Arabidopsis thaliana: one gene and its partner. The protein of the gene in region 2 interacts with the protein of the main gene of each other region in a pairwise test. Each region holds a gene or a part of one and is shown on either strand. Other genes may lie near its edges.

Region 1 (3,709 bases), on a different chromosome or scaffold from region 2:
GTTATTCGGTTGAATATAGATATTTTTTCTTAAAACTCTTGACAAAAAACTATATCTCATACCTCATATATACATATAATAAATATTTTATTGAAGACTGACTTTTCTATCTAATATGTTTCGAATTATATAGTTTGTAGGCAGAGACATTTTTTGTTTACCGCGGACATGTCTACGCTAGTGAGGGATTTATACCCAATAAATCTATATTTTTGACGTTGAATTTTGGAATGTAATAAATATATATATAGAGAAAGGGTCCCTATAGAGAAATATACATATGCCTATTAGATTTTTTTTTGAAAATAAAAGGTGGTTGTTTGTCACAATACCAGCCGTGAAAATAGATATGAATATGATCGCCGAGTAAGAAGAGGAGAGGATCATATTTTAGATGGTCATCAAGGTCTTGTCACTTTGACCAGAACTAAAAAAAGTTTTCATCGTTTAACTATCCTTTTCCGTATCTCCACGTTTATCATATAATAAGGTTCACTACATGTGATGTGACCTATCAAGCCATGTATGAGGATTTAATGATTTATATACTACAGCAACTTAGATTTTATTAATTAATCAAGAGTTTACTATTTTTGTAGTATTACAATGCTAAACATGATATGCAATTAATCTAGTTTTTATTCTGATAATCGACAGATCGTTATCAATACTTCTGTAAACTCAATTGATATTTCGGATTCAACTCATCTTTGGCAGTTTTTATTCAGAGTACGGAAATTCAGAACACAAATAAACATGAGATTACATGCAAATTTTCTTCTTTCATTTTTGCAGTTTATGACAATCATGAAACTAGCGTTTGCGTGCAGCGGTTTCTCTTTGTGCGTTAAAGAAGACGGCCGCGACAGGGAGACCAAGATCATACTCGACCGCAAATTTACGAGTGTTGAAGTGATCTCTCGAAGGGATATTAGGAAAGATAACACGTCTTTGCTTCTGCCTGAACAGAACAAACACAAACCTATGTATCCCTATGCTTGGCCTTGGCAATTCATAGCTCACCACCTCTTTGCCTATATTACAATGCAAATATTTTTATTTCTATATAACATGATATATGTATAAGTATTTAAATTACAAGATTCATGAAGAGGCCTTACCAAACGTAGCATCTGTTGTGCCGGGAATGTTTGTAACGATCCTATTGAAACATTCAACAATACTAATATTATTACTTTACAGAAAAAGTTCTGAGAACTCATGGCGATGGAGATCTTTGACCAACTCAAATGTATATAACTTACACCCAAAAAAAACTTTATTAGGGTTATAACGAAATGATTTAAATGCAATGTATATGGAATATGGGCCCAAAATGAAAAGAAAGAATAAATAAATTAAACGTACCAGTGCAGGTGTTCTTTTAGAAAGGGGTCACTAGGACCTGGAACATCTGGGTCTATCATCACCTGTTTTGCATTTCGGTTGAGTTTTACCATTAAAAAAAAAAGACTGGAAAAAGGAATGATAAAAACTAAAGCTACAATTTATAAGATTATTGAGTTAGAAATGGAAAACTTGTAAGAGGAAAAGGAAGTGAGACGTTTTATATGGTTTTTTTTGGCACAATATAAATAAAACCAACATTATTATAAAATAATTTAAATATATGTATTTACCAAAGTGAAGAAGGATCTGAGATCACCACCATGGATCTCAACCCTAGGCTTGGAGGAAACAGAAGAAGGAAAGAGCTCATGGCCATTGGAGACTTGCTTCTTGTTATAACTAACATTCATCTTAGTTGTTGGAGTGAAGAAATCAAGAACATCTCCTACCACTCTCCCCATTATCAATGGCTCTATCACTCTAGTTCCCATATTCTCCATTTTCTTTTGTTAACTTAGAGGAAAAGAGAGATTTGTAGTGATTTGGGAGACAAAGAGACGACCGAGACATCTATTTATAGGGGTTTTCCGTCTTAGAGAGAGAGAGAAAGATAAAAGAATCAATAGACATTAATTCCCAATTATGTGTACTAACCTCTTTCTCTTTTTTTTTTCTTTTTCTTTTTCTTTTTGTTTGCTTTCTCAAACATGTACACCAACTATATTAAAGTAAATTTGGGGGGTTTTAATAAGTAACTTATTTTAGGTGATTTAAAACTATAATTATATTTAATTGAATTAAGAAATATCACTTTTTTGGTATTCACTATATAATTACGTTTGACTTCTTCAGCAACATTGACTGCTTCAGCAACATTGGCATATCATGCATGGTTTCAAGTTTCAACCCCTATCTATGACCAAGACTTTATATAAATACCATATCGATCGCTAGATTTCGTTAATATATAGAATATCTTTTGTGTCACGAAGAACAAAACCCACTAACGTCTAAATTTCGACAAAATTCCTAGCTATATATACCTCGGCGAATAAAAAGCTATTTTTAAGTCTCACTGGTCGATGAATTCAAAAAGAATTTCAGTAGAACATATAATTGGCCAAGATTAAGATATTTGTCATAAAAACACTCTCATCGTACTTTGATTCTATTACAACTCCGGATACAATTATTGCTCAGAGTAGGCCTGGGCAAAAAAACCGCTAACCGATTAACCGAACCGAATCGAACCGAAAAACATGGTTCGGTTCAGGTTTGGATAGCTTAAAATAACCGGTTGAATATTATATGTCTTAGATTTCGGTTTCGGTTTCGGTTAGGTTAATAACCGATAACCAAATGAAAACCAAAGCATATATGTATGATAGATAATATATCACAGTATGTATTGACACTTAACTATGTTTTTCTCTTTATTAGTTTGCAAGTTGAATTTCGTGAGTTGTGAATCAGGTGTTTTAATATTATGGAGAGTATGGACCATCTTTGTGAGTTGTGAATATTTCTCTTTTTTACGTACGTTCTATATCGGTTATTGGTCAAATTTTTTGGTTGTTTCGGTTTTTAGTCGGTTATTTCGGTTTTAGTTTATTTATGGTTACCAAGTTTAATATCCAAACCGAACCGAACCGAAAGATATCCGAACCGAACCGAACCAAAATTCCTCAAATATCCAAATGGTTCTTATATTACTATAACCGAAATAACCGAAACCATGCGCAACCGAACCGAAACTGAATGCCCAGGCCTAGCTCAGAGGCTATTTGAAAGAAACATATCGCAGATTTGGGACTCCTTGCTCGTGGAACGACAACGCATTGTCGCATTGATTCTTAAAAAAACTTCTTTTTATCGAATCAATAAAACCAACGTGAAGAACCGATTCTTCAAATTGGGATTCTATATATGATTATTAGTTACAAAACCTTAAAACTTCCGAAGATTTTACGAATGCATATTTCAACCATAATACTCTATTAATCTGAAATACCAAAAGTGTTATACAAATCAGAAAATCCGTAGACTAATATAAACACACCCAAAGGTTTTGTCCTATTGAATATAATGATTATTAACTTATTATGGATTCTCCACTAAATAATAATTTATTTATTTTCTTATATTAGAAAGTCTTGATTGATGCTTTATTAAGATTTGGTAATTAATCAGAATAAAGGCACAAAGCAAAATATATCAAACTTATATAAAGTTGTCTACAACAAATTCTCCAAACAAGACAACCCTTTAACAATTTAGAAAAAAAAAAAAAGATAAATCGAATTTTCAAAAAGAAAAGAGAAACATCAATGTGCTCAATACAAGTAGACAACGTATCAAC
Region 2 (3,819 bases):
TGGGAGCTTGCCACGTCAATCTCATTGTCTTTGGACTCGTAGACAAACATAACTTTTTTTTTTGGTCCGTAGACAAACATAACATGGGTGGGTTATTACTTTTTTTTTTTTTTGGACAAAAAGGTGGGTTATTACTTATTAATTTCGATTAAGAGATTTTCATGGTTTCGTATTCGATTTTATTTTTCTTCTACCGAATCAGAACGGGTACTTCTTTTTGGGTTCAGAAACAAATTCATGTTTGATTTGGCTGGGGTATTATTAGTGGTATCAAAGCTATATAGAAAATGATTTTTTTTTTTCGGGTGGTGATCCATACCCTTACTATCCAACTAATTCTCTCAAAAAGTGTATACTTCGGCTCGCCGAATTTTTTAATGAACCTAAAATATAAAACAACTTCGATTGGTTAAGGGTATTTCCAATAGTGATCTTTATATTTTTCTCTATTTACAGAGGTGACTTTATTTTAGAAACATTGTGCTCTAATGGTTGTTGGGTATGTTTCTCATTGGGTCTTTTATAAAATAACTAAGCTTTAATTCCAACAATAGTTACCTCTAAAATAAAAGAAAAATAGAAATATCTACATTGTATCTCTATAAATAGAAATGTCTACAATTTATCTCTATTTTTCCTTTATTTTTTAAAAAACTCTATTTTAGAAGTGACCATTGGAGCACAATGCCTCTAAATATAATCATTTTTAAAATATAGAAAAATATAGAGGTAACCATTGGAAATGGTCTAAGTGAAAGTGATTTAGAAAGAAAATATTTTTTTTTATGCTAAGATATGGTGAAAATGCGAAATTGTTTAGATAAAAACATCATTTATGAAATGAGGAACATATAACATATCTGTTAGTCACAATTGAATAGTTTTCTCAATGATCTAAAACATAAAATAAATTAATCAGAAAAAGAATATGATGATGAGGAAATGTGATTATTTGTAAAATATATAAAATTTCATGACCCTGTTTTATTTTCTTTTTTTCAATTGTCCTTTGGCATTATAAGCCTCTCCATTCTGGGAACTTTGAAAAATCAATCACATCAGGCTCAGTTATCTTTTACTCAACCAATAAGTTGCTTTCCATTACCACTACCAATATTAATGTATAAAATAGATAAATATATACAGTTATATCTTTCATATTCATAATCACATGTTGTGACATTATTGTAATGACATAATACAAATATACACTTCTTTCTTCTTTTCAAAACCATATTTAACTCGAAATGAGGTCAAACTCAAATTATGATATGATATGGTGCTCATAAGTCATGGATCTAGTTTTTTATATACGTGTTTAAGTGGTTGTAGTGCATTAATCTATTTGATCGGATTTGAAGATAGATTAGAGATATATTATGTAAGCAAAACTATTAGAAAAGTTGAAAATATATAATTACAAAAAGGTAAAAACAAACAGAAAAGTTGGTAAAAATTAAAGCAAAGATCACACACACTTGAAAGCGATTTAAAGGGTCTATTGAATTGTTGTGATATTAAAGTGAGACCAAAACCATAGCTTATTGGTTACCTTTTCAAAACAAAGAATCTCTTTACCCACCAACTCCAGATTTAAGTATCATGCATTCATGCTAATTGGTAAATAATTCCTTCTGTAACATAAAAATGATTATCTTAGGAGAAAAAGTTTGACGTCACATAAGTCATAACTATAGATTTATCACTATCAAATTTTGGATTAAGTGACAAAAAGTCATTACATTAACATATTTTGATTTTGTTTTTTTTCTTTCTAGAACAATTACATCTCTGTTTCTTCTACTACTGGACCCAACCATCATGATACTAGAAATGACCATTGAGAGACAAGAAGTTCACAATCTTTCTCTCTCTGTCTCAAAGCTATAAGACATTTGACATCCCAAAACCAAAAAACAAAGCATTCTATGCTATTCTGTTCTGTTCTCCAATGTTGTCATCAGCAAAGCATAATAAGATCAACAACCATAGTGCCTTTTCAATTTCCTCTTCATCATCATCATTATCAACATCATCCTCCCTAGGCCATAACAAATCTCAAGTCACCATGGAAGAAGTATGGAAAGAAATCAACCTTGGTTCACTTCACTACCATCGGCAACTAAACATTGGTCATGAACCAATGTTAAAGAACCAAAACCCTAATAACTCCATCTTTCAAGATTTCCTCAACATGCCTCTGAATCAACCACCACCACCACCACCACCACCTTCCTCTTCCACCATTGTCACTGCTCTCTATGGCTCTCTGCCTCTTCCGCCTCCTGCCACTGTCCTCAGCTTAAACTCCGGTGTTGGATTCGAGTTTCTTGATACCACAGAAAATCTTCTTGCTTCTAACCCTCGCTCCTTTGAGGAATCTGCAAAGTTTGGTTGTCTTGGTAAGAAAAGAGGCCAAGATTCTGATGATACTAGAGGAGACAGAAGGTATAAGCGTATGATCAAGAACAGAGAATCTGCTGCTCGTTCAAGGGCTAGGAAGCAGGAATGTGTCTCTCCTCACTCTTCTACTTTCTAATTCCTCTAAATCAACAGAATCTCGTATTAAATCAACAATTCCTCTGTACTAAAATTGGTCCATGGATCTTTCAGGCATATACAAACGAACTTGAGCTTGAAATTGCTCACTTGCAGACAGAGAATGCAAGACTCAAGATACAACAAGAGCAGGTAAAACTAACACTGACTTCTTGCTTTAATGCCTTAGTCTAATTTTGTCTTGAGAAACTTGTGCATTACTTCTTGCAGTAACTTTTTCTTGTGAATGTAAGATTCTGCTACTTAAGGCCAATATTTTTATTTTTCTGTTTTTTGGAAAATACAGCTGAAAATAGCCGAAGCAACTCAAAACCAAGTAAAGAAAACACTACAACGGTCTTCCACAGCTCCATTTTGAGAAAAATCTACTATTTCTTTTTGGGGGAGTTTCAAGTGTTTCTTATGAAGATGAGAAAAACAGAAAAAGTTTGTACATTTTAGCTAAGTTAAATTTGTGGTGGTAAGTAATGTAAAAGAAAAGTGTGTGTAGAAGAAAAGTGTCTAGAAAAAGAAAGCAACTAACTTTCTTCTTCTTCTCTGGTTTCCTATCAACTCTTTTGACTTTTGTACTTTTTTTCTTCTCTACTTAACCTCTATTATTGTAATGCCAAGTCAAGTCCTTATCTAGCTAGTACATGAGTTTCTGTTTTCACTGGTTAAGCCATTACTGCACTGTATTGTCAGATGATATAAGTCTTCATAATGATGCTAAGAAGATTTTTTCTTGGTTGACTTCTTTTTGTGTATGCTTTATTAGCAACCAGAAACAACAGAGAAACAGAATAAATACCTAAGAGCAAATTTGGTAGCATCTAATGTTTTAATAAAAGTTGGGCCATGAATATGCTCACATTATAAAGTTGGCTTTATTAGTAACCAGAAACAACAGAGAAACAAAATAAACACCTAAGAGCAAATTTGGTAACATCTAATGTATAAATAAAAGTTGGGCAATGAATTTGCTGACTTCCTTCTTGTAGCAACTTTAAAGATGCTACAAATGCTTGCTTCATTCTGATCCAATAATATTTGTTCTTCTGATGCATCCACCTTCTTCCTCAAACATTTGGAACCAATCTAAAGGAATAATTAACAACAATATGATAGAGATGACATGTTATTCAGTGTAAATTTCTTAACTTTATTTAGCAGGCAGCACATAAAAAATGGGAAAGAATCAGCTAATCTTGATCCTCTATTTGACGAAAATAAAATCTTCAAAATACCAAAAGCTATGAACAAAATATTCAATCTGCAAAA

What was found.
Region 1: the proteins of BZIP27 (region 2) and TFL1 interact in a two-hybrid assay, tested with the Arabidopsis thaliana proteins (one study listed by BioGRID).

What each region holds. Positions count from the first base shown.
Region 1 is NC_003076.8:1,023,947-1,027,655, forward strand, and holds TFL1 (PEBP (phosphatidylethanolamine-binding protein) family protein), read right to left. Parts: upstream 1,927-3,709; 5' UTR 1,851-1,926; coding exon 1,641-1,850; intron 1,431-1,640; coding exon 1,369-1,430; intron 1,163-1,368; coding exon 1,122-1,162; intron 1,035-1,121; coding exon 814-1,034; 3' UTR 554-813; downstream 1-553. UniProt on the Arabidopsis thaliana protein: Controls inflorescence meristem identity and is required for maintenance of an indeterminate inflorescence. Prevents the expression of 'APETALA1' and 'LEAFY'. Also plays a role in the regulation of the time of flowering in the long-day flowering pathway.
Region 2 is NC_003071.7:7,721,035-7,724,853, forward strand, and holds BZIP27 (basic region/leucine zipper motif 27), read left to right. Parts: upstream 1-1,790; 5' UTR 1,791-1,951; coding exon 1,952-2,539; 3' UTR 2,540-2,613; coding exon of another isoform or gene 2,614-2,691; intron 2,692-2,845; coding exon of another isoform or gene 2,846-2,917; 3' UTR 2,918-3,257; downstream 3,258-3,819. UniProt on the Arabidopsis thaliana protein: Transcription factor required for the transition to flowering promoted by FT.